Danio rerio: one gene and its partner. The protein of the gene in region 2 interacts with the protein of the main gene of each other region in a biochemical or structural test. Links are inferred from orthologs where the notes say so. Each region holds a gene or a part of one and is shown on either strand. Other genes may lie near its edges.

Region 1 (4,468 bases), on a different chromosome or scaffold from region 2:
GGGTACGACGCCAATCTGACGTCATGTTGACATCTTGTGCCTGCTAGGATAGTTCACTGAATCAGATTAAACCATTAGCATTTTGCTAAAAAATTACCAAAGAGTTTTGATAATTTTCCTATGAATTTATGAATTTTCTTGAAAATCAGCGAACTTCCGTCAATATGAAATCGTAAGCCTTAGTACACGATGTAAATACAGAAGAGACAAGCATTGAATAAGAAAATTACTGAAACTCTTTGCTTATTTTTCAATAGTATCTGGATGCAGCCTTTATGATGCAAGCTAAGATTGCATCAAACAGCGATGCAATGTCAGACACAATGCACTCAAATGGAGCGCATTGGCGTCACTGTGACGGGTAGGGTTAGAGGTGGGGTTAGGTGAGCCCATTAAAAAGCATTGGATGCAGTCTCAGATTGCACTGCACCAGGTCTGCATCCAGATCCCTCTCTCATTTTTGAGCATTTTTAATGCTAAGGGTTTGATTCAATGATCTATGCTAAGCTAAGCTAAGCTAGAAGTGTTCCAGCCAGACGCGGAGATTGGCTGAATGAATTCAAAAATAGTAAAACTCAACAGCCTAACTCTAGGAGACTTGTCAAATTAGCCTATTTTCAAAATAAAAGTTCTTTTAATTTTATATTAATTCTGTAATTTGATGTTAAAAGGGAATGCCCAAATATAAACTTATAGAAAGTAGATGTAGAAAGTAAATATCTGCGCAAAATAGCTTGTTATTTGCGAACGTGTGGCATTTTACACTGTCACTTTTATAAAGAGCACAGCAGCTTTGAAACGGCTCATTTGGTCGCCTCTTCCAAACCATCAGGAAAATGTGACAATTCAGCTTTTCTTCACCTGATAGTGAGCACTGTTACAGAAGGTGTTACCTGAGCTCCTCCAGCAGAGATTAGATGGGATGACTGCACATTCAGCTAAAATGCTGCTGACATTCATTTCTATATAAACAGGACTGTGTGGTATGTATTGCATGCCAAACACATTATTTAACTCATGTCTATATGGGTATGTTTAATGTAAGAATGGATTTGTTGATGGGAGGACCGAATATTTATAAAATATATAATAAAATAATAATAAATAGGATTTATAGTAAATATACATTTTAAAAAGTAAACAGTGCTTAATTTGATTTCACATTGACCTTGAACTATAAATGCTGTGGGCTAAAGTCATTGCTTTACAGCTTTATTTTAAGTGCTGAGATGAATATGCTGGTGTGATGGTACCTTTATGGTTTCAGGTGGCACTCCCGGATCAGGTGCTTTCTCCAAATATGTAGTTAGATCCTGGTCCACATGTTCGAAGACCAAAGTTAGTTTGGTTTCCCGGTCAGTCCTGGAAACTGTGCATACGTCAAACAACCTGGATGAGGGAAAGACAATCAAGAGCACTTTCATTAAAAGCTGTGTGAGTCACGTCTGTTAAGTATTTAACATGAGTTTTGACAAGTTCATGTGTGATTTAAGGGCCCAAAAGACTTCTGAAAAAACTAAAGATCACTTTTTAAACAAAGTTAGGTTGGAGTTTGAACTAGCTTTATGGCCCGTTTCCACTGAGTGATACGGTACGGTTCGATACACTTTTATGGCCGCTTCCACTGTCAAAGGTGTACCTAACCGTACCACTTTTTTGGCACCCTTTCAAAAGGGTACCAAACACAGAGAAAGGGTACCAAAAGGTGAAGCTAATATGAACTCAGAATGATGGAATTACTCTCTAACAGGAGGCTTTATGTGCTGCTAAAGATTACGGACACAGATGAGAGGTTTTCATTGACCGTAGGCTATATTTTGTGTTGTTTTTAACCTAATTAAGGACTAAATGTCTGCTGTATGTACTTCTTCTGTAGTTGGTAACATATCAGAGATTGTAAGGGTCTGTATGTGTTCATATATGTTGCATTTATTTATTTATTTTATAAAATTGCAGACGTTACAGTAGGCTATTTCGCACTGTCATTGATCTGCAGTAATAATCAAATCCTGTTCATAGAAAAATTAGTAATAAACATTTATACACAAGTATTTGTGTGTATAAAGCATCTGTTTTGTGAGAAGCGCTTCTCATATGATATGTGAATAACCCGTATGGCTTTACTGTAGACATTTTCTCAAGCGAAAATTATGTCAACTGAAACTCTCAGTCATACCCCACACCCACCCTTGGTAATGGAAACGCAAGCCTGATAAAGGTGACCTGTACCGACCCGAACCGTACCAGTCCGTGGAAACAAGCCATTACAGAGCAATGCTCTTACAAGTAAACACCTTTAGACTTCTACTGGTAAAAGCTGATTATTTAAGGTTTACTGTTACTATTTTTATGCTTAATTCCACATCGTAGAAAGAGATTAGTTGACTTTACTTTAAAAAGTGTATAAACCAGTTAACTTAAATAAGGTAAATATGCGCATTATTATAAAAACATACGATGTTACTAACTTTTAAGTAGAGTTGTCCCTCCTTATTCCTGGCAGATGCATTCTAAAAATATCTCGCAGTTGGAGAAATCGCCGAAGTAGTCAGCTTTATTATTTTTACAATTATTTTAGATGTTTTAAGGCTGTAAAACCCCTCACTACACACTTTATACACTTTTCTCAGACAGGCATTAGGATTTCCACACTTATCTCTCATTTAAACTCTCACTCTCAAAGTTCAAACTTTTGAAGAAAAATAAATCCAGTATTGTAAAATGAAACCAAATATCAAGTTGATCGTAATGGCGCCCTACAGCCGCGTAACTTCTACCTTCCCTTAGCGTTCCTCTGCCTTTGGGTGCCTTTGACATTGCAGAATGTTTTGTCAACATTGTGGGGAGAAAACTTGCAAACAAAGTACAACACTTCTGTGTCACACTGCTAGCGATCGAAGATTTATGCCAGTCAGGACGCAGAACACAATGTGATGTAGAAAAAAGCATATCAAAATGCACAAAAAAAATCCACAAAAGGTGAACCGCATTTTAGCGAGGGACCACTATAACTGATTTTTTTAAGCTGAAAAGCTGCTTGTATCGGAGTAGTCAATTCTATAAAGAATTACATATAACAAATGTGACAACATCAAATTCGATAATCAGATGCTTTCTTAACGGCTGTTTTCTCACTGCTGCCATTCATATTGTTTGTTTAATTTGTTATTGACAACACATATTTTACCTATTTATACAAATGTCACTTGCAGTATACTGCGGCATACGCATTTCAAACGCATTTTTACCCCTAAACAAAGAGCGAGTATAAATGAGTATATCAGGGGCTTAGTTTAGGCAGATTTTACAATATAATGTGCAATTAAAAGTGTTGTGTCAAAAACATTCCACGTCCACACAATCGTTCTCAATTGTTTCCTAAAAAGTTGTTCGTCCACTTTGAAATGACTGAAAATGTTTTCGTCCCTGCGCATGTGTTAAGACAAAACACGCTTTGAGCTTCATTAATTTCAGCTCTTTAAAATTGTTGCAGCAATTTTTTTATGCTTTTTTAAAACAGTGGTTCTCAAAGTGGGGGTTGGGACCCACAGAGGAATCACTGGAAATTGAAGGAGGGGGTGGGGGTGGGGGGGGGTCACCTGGTGAATATTAAACTATAAGAATGACCATATTGTATCTATAACCTACTGAAGAGAAAAAAAAGGTAGCTTTTAGTAACTAGTTCTATTGGATTGCGACCCCTGGGGTAATTAAATTACATTAAAGACACAGCAATAGCGTCAGATGCAGCAGATTGATTTTATAACAGGTTAAACTTTCTGGCCCATTTACAGAACTCACATACATTAAAAAAAAATAAGCGAAGAATAGACTTGGGTCTTTTGGTGTGTGTGTGTGCGCCATTGCATGCAAGGTTTCTGTATTTATAACCACTTCAGAGAATGGGGGTCGCGAGTCACTGGCATTGTCACTTTGGGGGTCGCGGGCTGAACAGTTTAGGAACCCCTGTTTTAAAGGACAGACTTTGCTGCAATTAGCATTAAGTTATAAAGTTGCAAATGCAAGAAAGAATATAGACTAGAGAGGGTGATAAAATAACAGCTGAGTAAATATTTTGACTGTGTCCGAAACTGATACTTCCATACTATATATTACGCTAAAAACAGTATGTGAGCCAGGCAGTATGTCTGAATTCATAGAATTCGAAAAACAGTATACGAGAAGTACCTAGACAACAAACTACTTCCGGCGAGAATCTGAAGTGTGCATCTGATGCATACTACGCTATCCCATGATGCACTACGACGTAGAGCGGAGAGCGGGTATGAAGACGGTTGCGTGTTGGGTTCGGCGCACATGGGGACTGTACCAAAAAGCTGAGGAAATCCGAGTTTTCTCGGAGACAGAATAATACGGGAGAGGGGTGGGAGATGGGTCTAAAATACGCAAGACTCCCAGGAAAAAAAACCTGCCGGGAGTGTAGGCAGGTGTGCCCCACAAGAGAACT
Region 2 (4,568 bases):
TCTGCCTGAAAGTAAAACACTGTGAGGGAAGGATCTTCAATGCATGACCATGATAAAGTGCTCAAAACTTTTGCAAAGTTACCGAAACAAAATAAAAGTGAGCTCAAAAGTACAAACATACCTGTCGCACAGAGGGCCACAAAGGTCTGGGCGTGTTTGCGCAGTATCTGCTTGGAGCTCTGATGTATAGGCAGTTTGGCAAGGAAGTGTTCAATGAAATCATGTGGTGTCACTGAGGCCAGATCCCACTTCAGTTTATTTAGCGCCAGCAGTTCCATTTGCTGCGAGGGAGATATAAAATGGTCCAAGTTTACATAAAGCCCCAGACGATTTTTCCATTTCAGATTTTACACTCTTTGAACGCTAGATGGAGATGTCGATTAATTGCACAATAACGCAAGGCCTACGTTCAATTAACGCACACATCAAAAGCACCAACAATTTGTAACATGTACTGTTATTTACAGATATCTGTGGGTGCCTTAACACTTTGATAAACTCATTTAGCTCGTTGTTTCATGCAATACCTTAACGTATAGGTCTTTGAGCAAAATGACCTTCAATTGCATTATTTTACTTTAATTCAGCACAAAAAAAAAAAAAAAAAGAAAACAATATCAAGCTGCTAAATTAAAGAGTATTAAACATTTACCAATAATTCGCCGGGACGGACAGAGTTGTCCGTGTATATGCACAACTTCTCTGCTGTAAGTGGCACAGTCTCTTTCATTTTTGAAGCCAGAAACATACAAGTTGCTCCTAAAAGCTGCAACCTGGTTTTTTTGGTGGGCTCCACAGATAAAAACCTGTCCAGGTAGTTCATAGCCAAAGGAAAAACTTCCTCTTCACATTTCTGCTCTTCACAGACCTTTAAAGAAAAGAAAGTGCATACGATAAATAAATATTAAGTCACAACAGCAGCTAATTCTTTTAATTAAACGTGTAGAAATATATAAATAAAAAAAAATAAAAAATAAAAATAAAAACTATTCATAGAAATTTATTAAATAAACGAAGTGCAAATATTTTTTAAGCTACAGTATGCTTTGATCTTATCGAGTTATCCCACGTGTTTAGCATCTGCTGATTCGTACACGTGCAGTGGAAAGGGTTAAATTAGAAAAAAAAGACACGTGGAAATGCTTAAAAATAGTATTTAATCAGTAATTTAAGTTTAATCCTAAGTGTTGCACAAAGTATAAATGTTACAATTTGCTTCTGATGCTAATGGTCGTTGCTTTCGAGGCAAAAAGGTGGCGTCTGAGCTCGGTTCAGGAAACAATTTTCTAGTTCGTCATCTTTTCAAAAAATATTTAAAAATATACGAAAATTGTTTTGCTTGACTTTAAACACATGTAAATGTACTGTAACTCATGCTTTATTAGATTATGCAAAAATATTTCGATTGCAATGACAAAAACTACGTGAAATGAACTGAAATCCAAAGCCCCATCATACAAAGGGAAGCATGCGACATTTAGGTGAAGCGGGTGTTTCATAAATTAATATAAATTATTCCTTAGCATTAAATCTACTGTTAAACATCTGTAAATCCACATTATTAGAGGGTTAACATAATCCGATAGGTTATAACACGATGTTGAATTCAGAAATGAAATAATACAATATTTTTAGACCGTCGTGCAGGAGGTATGACAAACTGAAACAAAACTTTTAAGACACAAATATTACGTTTTCTTGCAAAAATTTGATTTATGTTATACCTGTGATTTAAAAGACAACTTGTGAGCGCTTTTATGCAGGTGATGTCAATTATGTTTCCATTTTAGAATTTAGAGAAATAAAAAACTTAAGCAAACGACAACAAAGATGGCGTATAATAGGCTACTGGCACGAGTGAGAATGCATACGTGTACATTGGTATTAAAATAAAATAAAAATAAATAAATGTATCTATATTTTAAAATATTTATAAGAAACGAAACGCATGCATGAAAAAATAACAACCCTAAATAAAAAGGCTAAAGCGGAAAGCACGGAAAACGTCTCGTGTCGGATTAATATTTCGTAATAAAACATTTTTACGTAAAAAATAAGCAACAATAATCGGACAGCGTGTTTCTGTGTGATATTTCTGGGATGGATAAGCAATGCCGATGAACCCAAGTCACACTAAAGCATTTTTTTTCATTTAATAAATACTTCTTGGAGTCCAAAGAGCAAGAGTAGAATCATCGTGAGGCAACGTGTGTAGCAGCAAATGCAAAAAAAAAGAGATATATAAATATATTATCCAAAACAAACCTCGAGCATCCACGTCGCGACGATTTTCCTCATTTTAGGCACAATTTCTTTCTGAACACACTTGAAATAATTTGGTGATGGGAGATAGTTTTCCTCAGCTTTAAGCATTGTCTGTAAAACTCGGTCATTCAACAGGTTGCTGTCTTGGTAAGCTCTTCTTATGGTATCCACTTCGCAGCAAAACAACTGGTGCTCCATATCTTCAGTGTTTAGCAGTGAGAAAAGTAAGAAAGCTGGAGCTCGAGTCGGACACTGGTCCCGTGGATGCTTTTTGCTGCCTCTGCTGAACCCTCTAAAAGTCTCGCTGCAGCTCTCCGCTTGACAAAACTCCCCTATGACGTGACTGTTGTTAAGGGAAGATCAAAGCAGCAGCAGCGAGCCTGTGAGAGAGCGAGAGGCTGTCTGCTCAGGGCGGAGGATCAATCTAAAGAACTATCTGCTTCTCAGTTTTGGCTCCTTTCTTTAGCCCTATGGAAATAGGAGGTCCTACGCCGGGTGACGAGTGACCAAGGAGAAGCGGTGGTGGGGGTAGGCTGGGCCGGGGTGGGGGCGCAGGGGGCAGGCTGCTAGTGTCGTGGGTATCGGGGGTGGAAAAGACTGGGGTGAAGATGTGTATTGGGTTAGTATTGGTAGGGGGCAGTATAATAGCCTAAATCAAGGTGCCCACACTGTCGCATTGAAAAACTTTTGTCACTGTAATTGTACAAGCATATATCAAAAGTTTTATTTGTAAAATAAATTTGGTCACAGTCACTTGTCTGCTTTTAAAATCAGGCTTTTAAAATGTTTTTAAAAGATTTTGGATTACTTTATGAAGTTTCATATAGCTAAGTTTCTGCACAAACTTGAATGTGGTTTCAGTAGGCTATATATGAAACAAATGTGTGGTCTTGGGTGGAGGCTTGTTTTATTTTTTTGTTTCTTTTTGGGGGGTTAGACTTAAAGAAGGAAGCACAAATTAGCCTAAACCAATGGAGGAGCACGTCAGTTGCCAGGCAGAACTGCGGCACGAGCTTTTATCTAAAAAAAAACTCCTCGTGGAAATGTTAAATAAACAAAATAAATTGTTAAAATTAATCATGTGAAGCATTCTTCTTGTCGTATTTAATAATACATTTCCTTAAATCTCATTTAACTTTTTTTTTTCTCTTTGTACACCAAAACATTAAATATTTCAAATAATAAAATAATACAAACAATAAAGTAGTTATAATATTTAGACTCGGAAACAAACCGCGTTAAAAGAAAACATTAGCTCACCGGTAAAGTTTAAACACGACATCTGCAGCTTTAACAACACAAATTGTTTGATAGAGTTTGATCAAACAGGGGCGCTCTCACTTTAAAAGACCTCACTGCTGTCGCTTCAGGATGAATTGAAGCTTTACAAATTCCGCACATTCCACTTCAATACCGTAAAACAAGTAATTTGCCTGTGCCCAAAACTTCAGCTGCAGAAAGAAGCTACAATAAAGTAACAACTTTAAATGTTAATAAATGTATTATAAGCTTATTATGCTATAATAGCAGCTAAGTTACTGTATTAAGTTCTATTACTTTAAACCTTTTTGAGAACATGCATATTAAAGAAAAAATATAACTTTTATTTTTACAGAAAAGACAAAGACAAAAAACTTTAGAGTTGCAGAAATAAGCTAGAGTAAAGGAACAACTTTAAATGTTACATGGATTTAAGTGTTCTCACAAGTCATTTACATAAGCATATCAACAACACTCTGTGTATATATATATATATATATATATATATATATATATATTTATTTATTTATTATATATTTAGTAGCAAACAGGCTAGTACGTTCATTCTAAGATCAAAAGTTATTTTATTAGCATAGTATAATATTATCTTAGGCTATAATAGCAACTGTTATTAGGCTACTGTATTATTTACTATTACTTTAAACCTCTATAAGAACATGCATATAATGGAATTTTGTATTTTTTTTTTTTTTTTACAGAAAAGACAAAGACCAAAACGAGTTGCAGAGAGAAACTAGAATACAAGAAAAACTTTAAATGTTCCACTGATTTAAGTTTTTTTCCCCCACACGTCATTTTACATATAGACATATCAACAATGCTCTTTAAATATTAGGCAAATATATTAATTAATTTAATAGCAAACAGTAGTTTAGGCTGTTCATTATAAGATCAAAAATTACTTTATTAGATTACTTTAATAATATATCAGGCTATTATATGACACTGTATTACTTACCATTATTTTAAACGTCTATAAGAAATGGCATTTGAAAGAAAATAATTCTTTTATGAACTTTCTT

What was found.
Region 1: the proteins of ccnd1 (region 2) and cdk6 form a complex in vitro, tested with the Homo sapiens proteins (3 studies listed by BioGRID and IntAct, with this or other methods). The link is inferred for Danio rerio from reciprocal best matches to the Homo sapiens genes CCND1 and CDK6.

Annotation. Positions count from the first base shown.
Region 1 is NC_133194.1:42,888,835-42,893,302, reverse strand, and holds part of cdk6 (cyclin-dependent kinase 6), read right to left. Parts: intron 1,390-4,468; coding exon 1,254-1,389; intron 1-1,253. UniProt on the Homo sapiens protein: Serine/threonine-protein kinase involved in the control of the cell cycle and differentiation; promotes G1/S transition. Phosphorylates pRB/RB1 and NPM1.
Region 2 is NC_133182.1:69,632,218-69,636,785, forward strand, and holds the start of ccnd1 (G1/S-specific cyclin-D1), read right to left. Parts: upstream 2,743-4,568; 5' UTR 2,464-2,742; coding exon 2,266-2,463; intron 869-2,265; coding exon 653-868; intron 282-652; coding exon 122-281; intron 1-121. UniProt on the Homo sapiens protein: Regulatory component of the cyclin D1-CDK4 (DC) complex that phosphorylates and inhibits members of the retinoblastoma (RB) protein family including RB1 and regulates the cell-cycle during G(1)/S transition.